Drosophila melanogaster: one gene and its partners. Changing the gene in region 2 together with the main gene of any one other region gives a genetic interaction. Each region holds a gene or a part of one and is shown on either strand. Other genes may lie near its edges. The genes, in order: raptor, Rheb, mTor and wnd.

Region 1 (4,984 bases), on a different chromosome or scaffold from region 2:
GTGTTCCTACCACAAATCAAAGTTAGGCACTTCCAATGTTCCGGCTCCTGCTCCCATACATAAATTCCCAAATGGACAACTACTCCCAGCTACCGGTTACCTGGAACTTTAGTTTTGGCGCAAAACTTTTGGCATGTGCGTTTCAGCTATTCCTTTTTTCACTATTGACATTTGCGGATTGTGGCTCCTTGGGCGCCATATGGCAGCCAAAAAGCAACGAGGAGAACCTCGATAAGCACAAATTTTAACCGAAACTCTTAGGAACAAAAACTGAGTGACCACACGAAACGAATTCAGGGGTGTTAATTATTTATTGCAATTTTAAGTTGTGTGTAAGTTTCTCGTTTTATTCTTGGACAGGATATTCAAAATGCTTCCCTTGCCAACGCTTATTCCTTTTGCGTGTTTGGCGTGCGACTAAACCATTTTTTAATCGCTTAGTTTGCCGGGCCGGTTAAAACAGAGCTTTTTGAGGCAGAAAGCTCGATTGGGCGAAGTGAACACTTGTTGAGTGGCAATGCGCTGATTTAGGCACCTGCAAATCTAACTAAATTTATTATAAAATAGTGTTAATAAAGCTTCCTGAAATGAGTAATCAACCAAGCACTTACAACTGATGCCATCGAAGATGCTATTTAAAAATACCGCCAACTGGCGGTGGAAACGGGTTTTTTTTGGCTGCCCCATGTGTTAGGGCTGCCAGCTGAGCTGATAGCCTTGCCACCTTGCGCGACTAGCACACTTGTCAATTTGTTTTTCTTTCGTGTTTATTATTTCCTAGATTTCTTTTGAGCTGGCATTTCGTTCTGTTTTTCACGTTTTAACCCCGTTTTTCGGTAAACCTCGTTTCTAATCTCGTGACAAGTTTTTCCACCGCCCGGAAAGATGCTAAGCCAATTTTACTGCTTGTTTTTGTTGCTCCTCCACTTCTTCGTGGGCGTGACGTTGTCTGAAGAGGGGGAGTGCCGCCGCCTTAATCGCGCAGATATCGAGGGCAGACTGTCCACAAAGACGCCCTACAGAGCGATCGCAAATTATGACGAAACGCCACCGAAATACGCCGGTTTGTATTTTTGTTGTTTTCTGTGTAACGCACCCACAGTAGGCACCCGCTTAGAAATACAAACATGTGTTGTGCCATGTGACAGTTAACAGCGCTCGCTTAATACAGTGAATTCATAATCATGAAAGCATATGGATTCTTTATTGATCATAAAACAGAGAATCGCTTTAGATTTGTTATTATACTATTACTAGTTTATTATTACCGATGCCTACTGCTAGCAAATGGCAATGGAACAGCTGATTTTTCTCTTTTAACCGTTTCACCCGACAAGGCTGCCATCCGACGCGAATTTGGACCATCATCCGACACGGAACTAGAAATCCTAGCGAATCCGTTATCCTTCAGGCGCAAAATCGACTATCAGAGATAAAGAAACGCATTCTGGATCAGACGAAGCCGCCGATCTGCACCGCTGAATTGGAAAAGCTGCGCCAATGGCACTGGATGCATCTGAATGCCACTGAAGATGAGAAATTACTGGTGGCCGAGGGTGAGGATGAGCTGATTGAGCTGGCGGAACGGATGCAGCGGCGATTTCCGGATCTACTTCCGGAGTTGTACAATCCGGAGTGGTACTACTTCAAGTATACTGCGACCCAGAGAACGCTGAAAAGTGCGGAAAGCTTCGCTACGGGTTTGTTCGGCCGTCATCGCATCCATACTGTACGATATCCGCCGCCTTTGCACGAGGATCCTGTTTTGCGGGTGAGCAGTCCTTTAGTTTTTTCTGTCAATGTAACCAAAACAAACTTTTGAATTACGCGCTACAAATGAGCTTGTAATGATCTGGCAACGCCATTCATTACAGCTAGGCCATTTCGCTGTTAGTTTATTATCGATATCAATGTTGTAAACCGCTTGCCAGCGTGCAATCGAAAAAATCATCGATTTTTGTTCCAGCTCTATTTTCTGCGCAATTCTTTTCGTATAATATAATTCGATTAAACATAAATAAATAAACCCAAGCGAAAGTAAATAAACCTGTTAATGCGCACCATCTTCCGTCGGAGATCGCTCGCTATAGTTGTACGGTTTTTATTTTGTCCCGGCATCGACCTAATCAGCCCAGGCGGCGTGTTTTCCCCGAGTTCTTTTTACCCGTTTTCGGGAAATGGTCCGCGATCCGTAGGCGGAAAACGTGGAGAAGAGGAACGTGGAAAGAAAAGCAGAAAAGCGCGGAGCGGAGCTGAGGAGGCGCTGGCGGTGGTGGAGGTGCGGAAAGTGCGAAAAGTGTTTGGGGTTATGTGCTAGAGTCCCCTCGGGGGGATTTTTAGCTGATTGAATCCGCGACCGAGACGTAATCGCTCCGGGAAATCGCTCGCATTGAGCTGCACCCTCTCCTCGGCAAACGGAAAAAGAAAAAAAGCAATACAGCGAGAAACGAGAGAAACAAAAAGCACGCAGAACATGACAAGTGCCGTTCGCGCTAAGTCCGCCGCTGCCGCAGTCGGCGTCGCAGTCGACGAAAGCAGCGGCAGCAGCAACGGCAGCGTCGCGGATCAAGAGGTGGCCTCCAGCAAGGAGGCCGTCCTGAGCGTCCTAATCCGCAAGAGATACGAGAAATATGTATTCGCCCCGTGGGACGATCCGATAATCTTGATAATGGAGCAACTGGAGCACATCGAGCACTGTCGATCCGCCGCCTTGGGGAACCAGGTGGCCATCGGCCGGGACCCATCTCAGGACGACTCTCTGAACGACCTGGGTAAGGTGATTAGCAACATGAGGCAGGACCAATCACTGGTACCAATCGTGAAGCACATCGAGCAAATATCCGACATTCAGGCCTCCAACGGCCAGGAACTGGCCTCCCTCGGTTCTTTGAGGGAGCTAATCCGGACTATCAGAAAGGAATGGCCCCGGGACGACTCTATCAAACTGCGGTTGAAGGAAATACAGATCCTGGGCATGCCGCCCGCTCGGAGCTTATGCTTCGGCGAGCGTATCCGCGACGACAGGTGCCCGCTCTCCCTGCAGACTAAAAGGCACAAGGAGCGCATCCAGGCCATGATGTACGAGAGACAGCCGTGGCGCATCCGCGAGCGCATGAAGACGGCAAGTGTGGCCCTGGTTCTGTGCCTCAACATCGGCGTGGATCCGCCGGACGTGGTCAAGATCCAACCCTGCTCACGGCTAGAGTGCTGGATAGATCCCAGCTCGGTGTCCCCGCCAAAGGCCATGGAACTCATTGGAAGCAACCTGCAGATGCAGTACGAACGCTGGCAGCCAAGGGCCCGGTACAAGAAGTGCAACGATCCCACCGTGGATGACGTTAAGAAGCTCTGCACCTCCCTACGCCGGAACGCCAAGGGGGAGCGCATACTCTTCCACTACAACGGACACGGAGTGCCCAAGCCCACAGCCAACGGGGAGATCTGGGTGTTCAACAAGACCTTCACGCAGTACATCCCCCTGAGCATATTCGAGCTTATCACTTGGATGTCAGCGCCCTCCATCTACGTGTATGACTGCTCCAACGCCGGGATCATCATCAATTCGTTTCAGCCATACGCTAAACAGCACGAGGAAGAACTAGGGAAGGCGCTGGCCGCCGCCCAGCAGAGGGGTGGTGTCCAACAGTTAGTGGGCGGCTCTGGTGGTGCCGCCAACGTAGCCGCCAACCAGGTGCAGTTAACCAACCAGATGGTCAGTTACAAGAACTGTATACACCTGGCTGCCTGTGCTGCAAACGAGATTCTTCCGATGAATGCACAGCTGCCGGCGGATCTTTTCACCAGCTGTCTGACAACACCCATTAACATAGCGCTCAAGTGGTACGCCATGCAAGAAAAGCTGGGCATGGTACCGCGTATTCAGAGCGAACTGATCGACAAGATTCCAGGTAAGGTTATACCTTTACTCACCCAGGGAATGCTGTTAACCATTAAATTCTATCGCAGGCAAGGTCAACGACCGGCGCACTATGATGGGTGAGCTTAACTGGATCTTCACCGCCATTACGGACACGATAGCATGGAACACACTTCCTCGCGAGCTCTTTCAGCGCCTGTTTCGCCAGGATCTGCTGGTGGCCAGCTTGTTCCGCAATTTCCTGTTGGCCGAGCGCATTCTGCGAAGCCACGACTGCACACCAGTTTCCCTGCCTGCCCTGCCGCCTTGTTATCGCCATCCGATGTGGAAGGCCTGGGATCTGGTGGTAGATTTGGCTCTACAGCAGCTGCCGGAGATTCTCGATCACAATGCGCCGTACCGCCAGCTGCCATTCTTCGAGCACCAGCTCACGGCCTTCCAGGTTTGGCTGGACAGCGAATCGGAGTCGAGAACGCCACCGGAACAGCTGCCCATTGTGCTGCAGGTCCTACTGTCGCAGGTGCACCGTCTGAGGGCCTTGGAGCTGCTGGCTCGCTTTCTGGATCTTGGTCCGTGGGCCGTTAATCTCGCCCTGGGCGTGGGCATCTTTCCATACGTGCTTAAACTGCTGCAGAGTTCTACGCGCGAACTGCGACCCGTTTTGGTGTTCATTTGGGCCAAGATCCTGGCCGTGGATCCCAGCTGCCAGGTGGATCTGGTCAAGGAATACAAGTACTTCCTCTCCGTGCTGCAGGACACCTCCGTTTCCAAGGAGCACCGTACACTGTCCGCCTTTGTATTGTCCTCCATAGTGCACAACTTCCTGCTGGGACAGACGAGCGCGCTTCAAGGTCCCCTACTGTCTATTTGCCTTGAGCAGTTGAACGACGGAAGTTGGCTGCTGCGCCAGTGGCTAGCCATCTGTCTGGGCATGCTGTGGCAGAACTTTGAGAAGGCGCGTTGGTCGGGAGCACGCGACCTGGCGCACGAGAAGCTGTACGTACTGCTGCGGGACTCGATACCGGAAGTGAGAGCCGCTGCCGTCTTCGCCTTAGGCACATTTATTAGCTCCGTGACGGATCGTAGCGAGGAACAGGCCAATAATAT
Region 2 (3,844 bases):
CATACCACTGGTCAGGTGGCCCAGCAGAGAGGGAAGCCAGTACCAGCGACTGTCTGGAAAGGACGACAATGGCAGTCGTGGTCCCCACCATCTCGATGGTGGGGATGCGGTGCGGAGACCTCTGCTCGCTGACAAGGAGGAGTCCAAATGGTACTAAAAGCTTTACGTAATATTATTGTGAGTGTTGCTTTCCCGTTTAAGGTTTTTAAACATATTAGACAATTTCTGATTTAAAAATGTGCTGCTGGTTTACCTCGTAATAGGATGGGTAGGGTTTGTTAATAAAAACTAAGCGCGTCAATTGCTAAACGTAAATTTATTGCTCATCTTTAGCAGCAACATCCAAATCTAATTTGCTACATCAAAGTGACCGAAACTAGCCTAAAGGACACGATATGCACACTCAGATTCAAGTCATGGAATTGAAGGCCTGCAGAAGCACCTGTTTTTCGCGCTCCTTTTTCTTAACTACGTCAAGACTGCGTTGTCGCCACGTGCTCTTGCGCAGTTTGATAGGCCGGCTGCCCACATAGCGGCCGTCCATCTCCTTCATGGCCCGTATAAAGTCGGCCGGTTCTCTGAAGCTCACGAAGCCAAATCCCTTGCTCTTGCCCGTGCGCTTGTCCCGCACCACACGGGCCCGCTGAAACGAGGGGAACTTGTTGAAGGTCCGGGTCAGGACCTCGTCGTTGACGTCGTTTCCCAAGTCACCACAAAAGATGCGGAAGTCATCGTCGGGCCAGTCAGCCAGCGAAGTATCCTCCCACACGGTGCCGCCAGCGATACGCACCGTCTTGCGGTCTTTCTTTTTCCGCTCTGTTGTCTGGAAGGATTGCAGCGCCGATGATGCGCGCGCTGCCTTAATGGCCTCCTCTGCAATGGGATTGGGTCCAGACTTTTCCGCCTTGAGCTTCTTCAGCTTCTGCGTTACGTCAAAAGAGACGGCGTTGATGTCGATGGAGGGCGCGGCGGCCACGGTGGGCACGTGCACAGACTGCCGGCACTGATAAAGTTTGGGGGCGCTGCTCAGGACTACGGGAGTGGCAGACATAGCCTTGGAAGAACCACCTCCACTGCCCGTAGGCACGAAGGTGGACATAAACGTGGGTGGAGGCGGCATCGGGGGCGGGGGTACGGTCAGACGCGATCCTCCATTGCCCTGGTGATGCTGCAGCTTGTGCTGCGAGTTTTGGTACGTATTGGCGGCTATGATCGGGCGCACCTGGTTGGGCACGAAGAGATTGCGGGCGGGGGGCTTCGAGATCTCCGCCTCGAAGCGTGAGAGCTCATCCTCGATGTTGCGACGCTTTGTACCCATTTGAAGTGGGGTTTTCTCTTTTAAAAAATCAAATCAAAGCAAGTTTTTACGAAAGTGCTGCAGAAAACTCGGAGTACTAAACAAATATCGATTTCGTTCCCAATCGATTGCACTATTTTTATTTTAAAGGCCTGTTTAGACATGTCCACAGAATCAGGCTCTATTTGCAATATATAACAAATAAAACAGTTATTTTAATATCATAAAACGAAGACATTTAATATGTTTTAACTATTTAAGAAAATAACTGCGACTTTTTACACTTGATTACGACAAGCACCTTTCCGAACGGGCCTTGATATTTTCTGCAATTGTTGACCGTTAAACTAGTAGACGATAGTGTAGTGTGACGGTTCCTCATTAGCTGGCAAATGCCTTATGTTAGTAGGCTAGGAGTGGTATTTCGGCTTCGTCGACACCAGCACTGATTCAACTTCAGAATTACTGTTTTCTTTTAGACGATCTGATAAATAATACTGGAATTAAAATCGCCGGAAAAGCTCTAGCTGTGATAGAAAGTATCCTCAGCAAGCAAAATAAACGCAGAAGCAATATTCCTCATACACACATTTAAAGAAGGAGCACGGGCATACCCACACAAGCGCACAAAAAGTCGAGGGGCGACAGCAAAAACAAAAGTGTGGAAAATCACAAAACCAATAAATTTCTCCATTTATTTCAAAGCACTGGGCCCCAGGAAAATGCCAACCAAGGAGCGCCACATAGCCATGATGGGCTACCGATCAGTGGGTGAGTTTTCCCAGAAAGTTCCGCCAGAAGCACTGACACTGTTGCTGCTGGCACTGGTAATTGCGTAGTATTTCGACAACAGCAAGAACTATGATCAATTGACCATAATAATTACGCTTCGCCCGCAGGCAAATCGTCGCTATGCATACAGTTCGTGGAGGGCCAGTTCGTGGACTCCTATGACCCCACCATTGAGAACAGTAAGTGTCACATCCCATTCCGTGCGGATTTCTTAGAAGCCAGGCTGACTCCATGCTTCGATAGCAGTAGCAATGCGTAATGATCGGTAATTCCCATTCGCAGCCTTCACCAAGATCGAGCGTGTAAAGTCGCAAGACTACATCGTAAAGCTCATCGACACGGCGGGCCAGGACGAGTACAGCATATTCCCGGTGCAGTACAGCATGGATTACCACGGCTACGTCCTGGTGTACTCGATAACCAGCCAAAAGTCTTTTGAGGTGGTGAAGATCATATACGAAAAACTGCTCGACGTAATGGGCAAGAAATAGTAGGCTTCTTCCCCGTGGGTTCCGCTTGAGAGCTAAGCTAATCTTTTTTGCCTTTCAGTGTACCTGTGGTGTTGGTCGGCAACAAGATCGATCTCCACCAGGAACGAACCGTTTCCACGGAGGAAGGCAAGAAGCTGGCCGAGTCCTGGCGAGCTGCATTTCTCGAAACGTCCGCCAAACAGAACGAGGCAAGTACCAAGACGAATCACACTAGCTGAATGCAACTAAGGTACTTCCTTCGCAGTCCGTGGGAGATATATTCCATCAGCTACTGATCCTCATCGAAAACGAGAACGGCAATCCCCAGGAGAAGAGCGGTTGTCTTGTATCGTAGGGCGGCTGAGTAGCTAAAACTACGGCCGAACTGTTGGAAATACGGCAAATCGCTATGGCAATACGAAAATCGATTATCTCTTATCTACACAGTTGGGTCAGCGTGCATGGCGGGGCCGTACCCTTTGTGCGCAGCAGGAAAATCTAAAAATCTAATAGACCTAGTATTCTTAAGACCACACAGCAAGTAACCAATATCAAGCGATCTGAATGCGTCCGCTAAACGCTGCCCAGCAGGTTTTGTGGTTCGCGTCTGGCGCAACACAACAGGTTTAAGTTAGTACGTTTTTTTTACAACAACAATTCAGTTACAAATTTCATATACAAATTCTGCAAACTTTTAGTTTCAATTTAAATATAATTTTTCAAAATACTATTCAAGATTGTATTTTAATGGTCAACATTTTCGATTGTGAAAAATATAGAGGTTGATTTACTAAAGTTACAAGTGCGTCGAGAAGACCTGCCAGTTGCAATTCCAAAAAGCTGGATTTACTTTATCTCGTCCCTATAACTGATTAAATAGGACCAATACCTTAATGATTTCTATAGATTCCCAACCGTTGTGAATTCTCTGGAGACCAAGGTTCAGCAAGTAAAAGAACTGGGAGGATCTCGGTATGGTTCTTAATAAGAGTAATTTCAAACCAAATTACTATTTGGATAAACTGAAAGACTCACCTGGCCACTCTAGCAATATCTGCATCTGTTAGCAAAAAAAGGGGTCTTTAAATTTTAATACCGCTATTTCTTATGTCACAATTGGTCGGACGAATTTGATTGAATTAAGATTTGGCTGGCTTAATATTTCTAAAGACTGATTATAGAAAAAAGACATAGAAATTATTTCGCATTAAACCGATTATGAATAAAAATATTTCTTGTCTTACTTATCTTAAATCTAAAATGCCGGCTAACAGAGCGTTGCGCG
Region 3 (4,763 bases), on a different chromosome or scaffold from region 2:
ACGGGACGTGGCTGCCGCACTGGCCAGACCTGCAACATGGTGTGCTTGGTTATCTCGCCGTCGAACTCCGTCTCCAGGACAATGTCCTCCAGGTTGTAGTTGCCCGCGGGGGCAATGTATCGAACGGTTCCCTTAGCCCTGGGTGCCACAATCATGCGCTGCTTCACCAGCGTGTTCTCGTGTACCACTCCATACAGATCTCCTCCGGTGATGTGGGATCCCACCCGCACATTCAGCGGATTAAATTCCCACATCTCCGAGCGCGACAAAGCAGTTGTGTTGACACCTTTGGGTATATAGATGGAGTTGGTCATGACACCAATGTCCCGCAAAGGACGTTGGATGCCGTCGAAGATGCTGCCCATAATGCCGGGTCCAAGTTCCACGGAAAGAGGTTTGCCGGTACGCAGCACCGGATCGCCGACAGTCACGCCAGAGGTCTCCTCGTACACCTGGATGGTGGCCATGTCGCCCTCCAGACGGATGATCTCGCCCACCAGCTCGTAGTAGCCGACGCGGACCAACTCGTACATAGCTGATCCAGACATGGCCTCAGCGGTGACCACTGAAGTGGATTTAAAGTTGTTGAAGGAGGAAAAGCAGGAGAAATATGATTAGCAAGGAGTGGAGAGAGCAGCATAATGAGGAAGATTATGCGGAACAGGAGGAGGGGGAAGAAAGCATACAGAAATATGAAAAGGAGAAGGATAATAAGGAAGGATAAAAAGGAAGATGTGGAGGAGTATAATTAAGAACAGAAGAAAGGCAGGATTAAGGATTACAGAACTTGGGGGTCAGCGCATGAAGGACGCTGGTGACGTCGCTTACCTGGTCCGGATACCGCGTAGACACGGCCATATTCCGACTCGCGCTCCTCGTCTTTGAATTTCCTCAAGTTGGACATGGTCGCGGTTGCTGCTCTTCTTCTTCTGCTTCGGTAACGGTCAAATCGTTCGTTGGCTGTGGGAAAAAGTAACCGTTTTTCTTATAAACAAAAACACGCATTTTCCATGCCCCCGAATGAGAGAGCGTTTTCCGCGAGGAAACGCATAGGTGGCGCTGATGTGCAGCAGCAGCCCCCAGTGAAAAGCTTCACACCCCCGCAGCACAGCATCGATTTTCCAATACAATTTTCACACATGCCACCAACGGCAAGGTGAATTTTCCACCTTTTACCCATCACAAAAGCAATTTTCACACTTTCTTTTCATTCAACACCTTGTGGTCAGTGGTTTTGTGGCGTAAAAACTGCTTTTTCAGCTGCTCTAAAATTAAATAAGCTCACATTTGTTTCAACAGCTCTTATGAAAATTCTCTTGCTTTTTTGATTTCACTCTAGTATTGATCTATCGGTTATCGTCGAGGGCTCCAGGTTCTCTATAGAGATGGGCTCACATCAAACTCACGCACGTCACGATACATTAATAGTCGGATTCCACTAGCACATTCCGCAGTTAAATCTTGAAATACTTGTTGGTAATTATTAAAAATTTAACATAAGCTTGCATTTTTGTGCTATTTTCCAAATTCTTCAATGCAACTTGTTCACTCCAGTAATATAAATGTTTTGTACCACAACTTTAAGCCAATTTCTTTTTAATTGCTTATAATAAAGAACAAATTTATTAATTACTTTATTATTTTTATTTAATATGTTCTCTAACATTTTAAATGCTTATAAGTCGCCGCCAAGTACAGAAGTATCAGCAAGAAAATATCGATTGTAAATTGATCGAATTCTGTTTTACATCACTAATCGGCAGCGGCTGCAATAAATTTCCGTAAAAACCGAAGTAATCCGCAATTAAAGAAAGCAAAGGACCTGCATCCGTGTGAGATCGTTCGGCACCGGTGCCGGCACATGAAATCCTATCGAGTGACCAGTGGAACAGTGCGTACAGCGCCCCGGGGCAACTGAAAAGATAACCTCCAAAGTCCGTAGACAGCAGGCAGATGCACCTGCTCCACCCTTTCCCCTCCCAAATGCAAGTGAAAATCGCGTTTAAATAGTGAATAAACCCTGCCCAGCCATGTCGACGACGTCGGTGGTGCAGCAGTTCGTCAACGGGCTTAAGTCCCGCAACCGGAATGTACAGAACAAGGCAACCCAGGATCTGCTCTTCTATGTGAAGACCGAGCTACGCGAAATGTCCCAGGAGGAGCTGGCCCAATTTTTCGACGAGTTCGACCATCACATTTTCACGATGGTGAATGCGACAGATATCAACGAGAAAAAAGGCGGTGCCCTGGCCATGAGTGAGTTCCTGGCTCCCCGGCAGTGCTTGAGAGGATTTAACGTCTTCCCTTTCAGAGTGCCTGATTAACTGCGAGGGCAGTCTTACTGCCAGGAAGGGCATTTCGCCCTATCTCAACCGCCTGCGCGATCTTCTGCTAATCAACGATGTGTCCGTCATGGAGATTGCCGCCCGCTCCCTGGTCAAATTGGCCAACATGCCCACCTCCAAGGGCGCCGATTCCTTCGACTTTGATATTAAGAAGGCTTTTGAGGTGCTCAGAGGCGAGAGACAAGAGGTGAATTATAAGGGAAACCTACAAATTAAGCTTTTAAGTCTGATTTTGAGATGAAGATGGAAAAACTTTATAATGAAAATGAAAATAGTAGTTGTAAGCATGGCTAGAGTTATCCAAATTCATTTATATATTATTTTTTTCAGTACCGCCGCCATTCAGCCGTCTTTATCCTCCGTGAGCTGGCTATCGCCTTGCCCACATACTTCTACCAGCACATCCTGACCTTCTTCGAGGTTATCTTTAACGCCATCTTCGATCCCAAACCTGCTATACGAGAGTCAGCTGGCGAGGCTTTGAGGGCGGCTTTGATTGTCACCGCTCAGCGAGAGAGCACCAAGCAGTCCAGTGAACCACAGTGGTACAGAATCTGCTATGACGAGGCGAATGGAAGCTTCAATGCAGACTTGGGCTCTAGCAAGGATCAGAAAGGCGTGACCCGAGACGATCGCATTCACGGTGGCCTCGTCGTCTTCAACGAGCTCTTTCGCTGTGCCAATGCCACCTGGGAGCGGCGCTACACGTCTCTGAAGACGCTGTTCCCCAAGACCCAACACAATAAGTTCCTGGAGGCCAGCAGTTCGTCGAGTATGGGTTCCCAGCTGAATACTCTAGTGCCGCGGCTAAAGGTGCCCTTCATTGACAAGCTCGGCAGCACCCAAACGCATTTGGGTGAGGGAGAGCATCACAAAGGAGTTGCCAAGTTCGCGAGCGTGAGTCTAACGATCAAATACCTCCACACACGAATGTATTTGTCATTTTCATTTATTTACCTTTTGGTTTACGTAGTATGTACTTTACATGTATCTAAAAACCAAGCGATGCCTGACGGGAGGAAATCAGCTGACCTAATTATAGTTTAAAAATTGTGTAAAATGTAGCAGTAGAGTGTGATTCGTTACCAGTAGTAATTGTGGGGCGGCAATCATTTAGACAAGCATGTTTGTATTAAAATAGTATATTTTCCATTTGTTCATTACAAAAAAGATATTTTAATGTTTGTTAATTTAAAATACAAACTATTTAGTTATGTTTAAGCAAGTAACTAATAATATCGACATCCAGCAGCACAACGTACTGGAGTCCGCATATGCTCAGGAGATCCTTCAGGAGCACTACACCTCCATTTGCGACAATGTTTTGGAGCAGCGAACTTCGAAGTCTCCGTATGTACAGCAGGCACTCCTTCAAATACTTCCTCGATTGGCTGCCTTTAACCGCGCGGTGTTTGTGGAAAAATACCTGCAGACATGCGTGTCGCATTTAATGCAGATCCTGCGAGGCAAGGAGAAGGATCGCACGGTGGCGTACATAACCATTGGTTACATGGCTGTAGCGGTGCAGAGTGCGATCGAAGTTCATTTATCCAGTATAATGACTAGCGTGAAGGTCGCCTTGCCGTCAAAGGATTTGACCAGCAAACGAAAGGTACCAGTGGATCCTGCGGTCTTTGCCTGCATAACGCTTCTTGCTCATGCCGTTAAGTCGGAGATCGCCGACGATGTTAAGGATATCCTTGAGCAGATGTTCTACACGGGTCTCTCGCCAGCTCTGACTGTTTGCCTGAGGGAACTCTCCGAGAATGTGCCGCAGCTTAAGTCGGCCATTACAGAAGGATTGATCGGAATCCTATCCCAGGTGCTGATGAACAAGGCGGCAATTTTACCATACACTGCTTTGCCAACGATCGCCATCGATGGCTCGCTAATGCAGAATGGTGACGGAGCAACCACAGTGCTGGCACTCAAAACGCTGGGTACCTTCAACTTTGAGGAGCAAAACATGCTGGACTTTGTGCAACGGTAATTTAATTTAATTTACTATATTTTAGTTATATTACAAGGTTTGATTTCTTTTTCAGATGTGCTGACTACTTCATCGTTCACGAGCAGCAGGAGATTCGTCTGGAGGCAGTGCAAACATGCACACGACTCCTTAAACTGGCAGTGCAATCCTCTGAAAGTATGGAGAACTCCAAGACCCTCAGCGACACCGTTTCCCACGTGATTGAGCGCCTGCTTATGGTAGCCATTACTGATATGGACTGTAATGTGCGAATACGAATTCTACGTTCGCTGGACGAGACCTTTGATGGGAAGCTTGCTCAGCCAGAGTCTCTAAATTCGCTATTTATTACGCTGCACGATGAAATCTTTGAGATCCGGGAGCTGGCAATGGTTACCATTGGAAGATTGTCGTCCATAAACCCGGCTTATGTGATGCCCAAGCTAAGA
Region 4 (4,843 bases), on a different chromosome or scaffold from region 2:
ATTTTGAAGCACAAAAGAAAGAGATATTCCAATCTTCCATTGATACACTATTATTGTTCTCACAACAATACCAACAAGATCCTTATCTCAATGATCCTCAACTACCCTTAACTTAGACTTGTTAAAGGCAATTCTTGTGTTGAGATCATATACCCCCTCCCCCTCGCAAGTGGCACTGATTGACGGGCATGGAACCTGCACCCTGGACATGGAACTGGAACCCTGGGAGATACTGGCCCTCGGTGTCCCTCAAATGCGTGAAACCCTATGACTCATGCGCAATGGACCAAAAGAAAACGCCTGAGCCGCACGCAGGCAGCATAACAATTTATTGGTCAGAACATACAAGAAAAGGTATTTGTTGATAACGTGGAAGGGGGGAGGTGGCTCTAAGAAGGGAAAAGTGGATTGTGTGATTGGTAAGGATACACCGCGACAAAAAGATCTTATATACTTATGGCGTTATGCTGTTATCATGGGTGATAAAGGTAATATTTTTATACATATGTACGTAACATAATAATAAGTTGTTAATTTCGAAATATTTCGTGTATAGAATAATGCTTTTCCAATTCATAGTAGAGACATTTATTATGAATATTATATGCTATGGAAATTCTAAGTATGTAAATATACAATTGATCGCTGAATATATGCTATGGAAATTCTAACTATGTAAATATACAATTGATCGCTGAATTCGCTAAGTATTTTCCACGATGTAGAAAAGCCCCCACCCACTAACATGTTCTCCAAAGAGATCAGTCCTCTGTGGGTATGAGTCATCTTTGTTTATGTAGAAATTATGCTACCTGCTGCACTATGTTATTTTCATTTTCGTGCTCTACCTGTTGTGCGAAAGCGGAGGAGCAGGGGTATGGGATTCGACACAAATCCGGAGACACCGTTTTCACAGCTCTGCTCTTGTATAGCAATTCTTTGATGACGTGCCGAGTTTAACTACATACCCAGCTTATGACGTACAGACTGATAAGCTGATAGGTTGTTTACGCAAGCGAATTGCATTTAAGAACAATTTAAAGTTTAATTTTTATATGTATGTATGTTTGTTTGTGTATAAAGCGAAAAAGTATTAAGATCATACTTTAAGTAACTTAGCTCATGCTTTTATAACATATATTGATAAAACAAAATCAAAATACATACATACATTCTTTTTAAGAGTATCACTAAGTTTTTGACTTTCCTTAAATAGATATACATACATACATATCTAGTTATTTATTTCATTTATTAAGAAGCTGACTTTTAAATAAAATTAATACCCACATTTAGTATAAAAAACTGTCTAATAATAAATTTTTCTACTTTCAGATGTTCTTTCAAAATTTTAGATCAAAGTTTCCAAAAGTTGCTAATAGTATTCTTAAATTTAGTACTTAATATTCGAAAGAGAAAATAAAAATAGAAATGAAAAAGAGTGTGGTAAAAGCGAGGTTTTAGATATTCAACGACACACAAATGTGTACATCTAATTTCATTGATTTGAATTATTTAATTTATTTATTTTTGACTTCATTATCTTTTTAAGCATTATTTTGCTAAAAGCTCAGAAGCAGCTGCCATGAGCGCTTTTAGGCACTGAACACGATCGTGCACGTCGCTGACGAGAGCTTTATTAAACTTTTAAGCCAGATCCAGTTTCATTGGCACTATCAAGTAGAGTGTGGTGAGCAAAAGAAAAACGGGGATAATCGGAGAGGCGACAGCAACAACAACGACCCAGTGCCTTGGCAGTTGATGTCTGTTTGTGGTTGGCCATCCCGCGCAGTCGCGTTCTCCCGCACACTTGCGCAGTGAACACAACCTGCGCTCCAAACTGGTTTTGGTGGAGGAAATCCGCAAGAGAGAGCGCTAGAGAGCGGATTGGAACTCGGTTTCGGCCAAAGCCAAAGCAGAGCCAGCAGCCAGTTTTTGCTTTTTAGTCGATTTGTATCTACCTTTGGTGCGGACGGTTGGTCGGAATAAACGCGTTTCGCAGCGGAACTCCAAGAAGAGCAGAAAACCAGTCTTTAATTGTTCCATTTCAAGCTGAAATCAAATAAAAGTTCTTCGCCAATGGCTGAATAAAGTACGAATCAATGCAATCACTACGATTCGCAGTGGAAAATTGCTGGAAAAGTGAGCAAAGTGTGTGAAAAATGTGCAAATACAAGAATTTTTATATTGATTTTCTTGGCCAAAAGAGCGAACGAGCGAGCAAAAGGCAGCAGCAGAGGAAGAAGAAGAAGCAGCAACAGCACAAAGCTGCGCTGTAAGGCTTCCGTCGTTGGTGCGAGCAAGAGGGGAGGGCCCTACTGGGTGGGTGTGAACGAGACAGCAATAGCGAGAAATGTACTCTGGTGTGTGTGTGGGAACATTTATGTTTGTTGTTTTTGTTATGTTCTAGCTTTGGCCAAGTTAAATTAAAAAAAAAAAGAACAACAAGAAGTGGAGTTGTACACAGGAAAAAATGATATCAAGTGCCTTTTCTTCTAATATATGTTTATCTTTTGAAAAGCAAAAGATATTATTCAAATGAGAAAAAAAATAATCATAAAGTAATATTATTTGGCGAATTATATTTTTTTTTTAACAGAAAAAGATTCTGTACTATATCTCAAAAATAATTGGAAAAGCATCTAACTTACAAAAATGGGATACAATATATAAATACATTTTTTGATATCTACTTTTTTTTTCTGTGTACAAATAAAAAGAATACCTGTATGTGAGCTTGTGTGTGCGCCTATTCTTTTGTGCAATTCGCCTTTTAAAGGCATCATAAAAATAGCTCAGCCTGCAGTTTGAAAGTGAAAGAAAACCACATTTAAGCGGAATGCAAAGTGAATTGGCAGCAAGTGCAATAATCGACCCTTCTTCTTCCCGTGTTTGTGTGTTTAAATAGCTTTTTTTGCGTGGGTGCTATTGCTGTCTCGCTCCCGCTCCTGCTCGCATATCCTTTTGCCCTTTGCCGTTTGACGTCGTTTGCTTCTTATTGATTTTCGTCATTCATTGATAAGAGGTTGCGAACGAATGTGCGCGTGTGTGTGTCTGAAAAGGAAATCCCCAGCCAAAAAATACTAATGTTCGTGGTATCTCCATATAGCAACCGCTTTATTGACCAGAATGTCGTAAGGATCGATCATAGAGCCACCAATACACATACCCAAACCACACCAATCCTGGACAATGCAACCGTTCAGCGACAGTCTGAGCAAAAGTCGCGATGATCTGGTCACCGCCGCCTCCCGGCAACAACAACAGCTACACGGACGGAGGCGACACCACGGCAGCAGCCCCAACTTGTCGCTCGATCAGACCGACAATCTGCGAAGGAGGTGAGCATTATTATTATTAGACATTATGGTCGTGATGGCTAAGACAAAAACCTAAAAGTTTTAGAACGATTTTTGTTTGAGTTGATTATAGAAAAGTTGTTGGACATTTAGAAACTTTATTTAAAGAGTAATCACATAATTGATTAAATCTTAAAAAAAAAACTAAAAAGCAACCTCGAGCATAAAAACCCCAAAAAATAAATACTTTCAGCCATTAAAAACTCGTCGTGTTTAAGTAAAAGAAACAAAATCGGCTTGAAATTTTAATTAATATTTCAAGAATATGCCGCCGAATCGTGCTTAATTAAGCGGGGTAATCGACCTTCACTGTATACAAGTTTTTATGTAATTCGCAAGCAACTGAATACTCGAAAGTATTTAGCAGGTTAAACGATCGTTTAAAAATTTAAAAAGCCACAAAAATCTTGAACTGAGTAACAATAAAAAATTCAACTTTATCCGATAGATACAGGATTCTATTTCCCAAATAGGAGGCGTCAGCTTTATTTTCCTAGTTCCTAGTCTCACTAAGTAAATAGAAATCATTAGAAAGCACGTGCAAACCAAAAAAGCTTGTTGTGAAATAATAAAAAGTTATCACAGTAGATATTAAAAGAGCATAATAATGACAACAAAGAAGACAGACATACAGACATCTACTAAAACACTGCAAAACAACAGTGTTAACAGATAAGCAGATAAAAGGGGTTTCATTATTTAAATAGCGAAATACTAGTATTTAATAATTTTTTGTAATTGTGATTGATTATAATATTACTAAGGAGAGCACTCGATTTTCAGGAGTAGAGATAACAAGCACACGGAAATGTCTTCATAGGCAGTATCCACTGTAAAAAAAATTGGGCGATACAATTTGCAGGGGGGCGCAGCCAAAAACTTCCTATTCGCACACTTACATCCACAGCACGACCACCTGTATCTGTATTTGTGTGGATGTGTGTGAGATTTGATCATGTGTTCCCCACCATGAAAACTGGTTTTAAGTGTGACCAGATGGCAGCCTGGCCTGGGGAGACCTCGAGATGGTTGGCCAGTCGATACAGGCGCTGGGGAATGCGGTCAGTCTGACAACAACAACGCCGGATGATAACAGCAGATGAGAGCGGAGCGGGAGAGAGAGCTCCATCCGAACTGATACTGATAATGTGGAGCTAGACCGTTATGCTCACGCTGCGAGTCGCGATTTAGTTGGCGAAAATCAATCGCTTCTGGTGGTCGCTCTTTGCGCTTGAAATTCGCAAGCCTGCCTTAATTTGCGTCCGTGTGTTTGTGCGACAACAAAAACAAAAGCGAGCTTATCGCCAAATCAGTTTGCAGCCGTTGTCTGTGTGTTGGTGTGACGCAGTTGTGCGAAATACGTGAAATTATTGCATTTTTCCCCCCCAAACCCAACCAATAAGCAACAGTCTTGAAAAACCGCCAACGAAAGTGTTACGCGTCGCGTTCGTCTCTCTTTTCTTGTAATTAATAGCAACAAAAAG

Evidence for each region.
Region 1: of Rheb (region 2) and raptor, changing one suppresses a phenotype caused by changing the other (phenotypic suppression), as found in Drosophila melanogaster (one study listed by BioGRID).
Region 3: of Rheb (region 2) and mTor, changing one suppresses a phenotype caused by changing the other (phenotypic suppression), as found in Drosophila melanogaster (2 studies listed by BioGRID).
Region 4: of Rheb (region 2) and wnd, changing one suppresses a phenotype caused by changing the other (phenotypic suppression), as found in Drosophila melanogaster (one study listed by BioGRID).

What each region holds. Positions count from the first base shown.
Region 1 is NC_004354.4:6,087,196-6,092,179, reverse strand, and holds the start of raptor (raptor), read left to right. Parts: upstream 1-1,978; 5' UTR 1,979-2,473; coding exon 2,474-3,908; intron 3,909-3,966; coding exon 3,967-4,984. Other genes in the region: Mipp2 (multiple inositol polyphosphate phosphatase 2), read left to right, coding at 886-1,063, 1,338-1,771.
Region 2 is NT_033777.3:5,567,204-5,571,047, forward strand, and holds Rheb (Ras homolog enriched in brain), read left to right. Parts: upstream 1-1,717; 5' UTR 1,718-1,836; exon of another isoform or gene 1,837-2,002; 5' UTR 2,003-2,019; coding exon 2,020-2,068; intron 2,069-2,196; coding exon 2,197-2,268; intron 2,269-2,371; coding exon 2,372-2,579; intron 2,580-2,638; coding exon 2,639-2,768; intron 2,769-2,824; coding exon 2,825-2,914; 3' UTR 2,915-3,288; downstream 3,289-3,844. Other genes in the region: CG12746 (uncharacterized protein), read left to right, coding at 1-157; CG2931 (uncharacterized protein), read right to left, coding at 410-1,318. UniProt on the Drosophila melanogaster protein: Binds GTP and exhibits intrinsic GTPase activity. Activates the protein kinase activity of TORC1, and thereby plays a role in the regulation of apoptosis. Stimulates the phosphorylation of S6K through activation of TORC1 signaling.
Region 3 is NT_033779.5:13,002,756-13,007,518, forward strand, and holds the start of mTor (mechanistic target of rapamycin), read left to right. Parts: upstream 1-1,724; 5' UTR 1,725-2,030; coding exon 2,031-2,256; intron 2,257-2,311; coding exon 2,312-2,532; intron 2,533-2,675; coding exon 2,676-3,242; intron 3,243-3,594; coding exon 3,595-4,331; intron 4,332-4,390; coding exon 4,391-4,763. Other genes in the region: Vha68-1 (vacuolar H[+] ATPase 68kD subunit 1), read right to left, coding at 1-565, 829-904. UniProt on the Drosophila melanogaster protein: Promotes cell and tissue growth, maintains tissue homeostatis and controls responses to environmental stress and aging. Regulates growth during animal development by coupling growth factor signaling to nutrient availability. Central regulators of autophagy.
Region 4 is NT_037436.4:19,632,730-19,637,572, reverse strand, and holds the start of wnd (wallenda), read left to right. Parts: upstream 1-1,789; 5' UTR 1,790-2,142; exon of another isoform or gene 2,143-2,151; intron 2,152-3,109; 5' UTR 3,110-3,192; coding exon 3,193-3,341; intron 3,342-4,476; exon of another isoform or gene 4,477-4,843.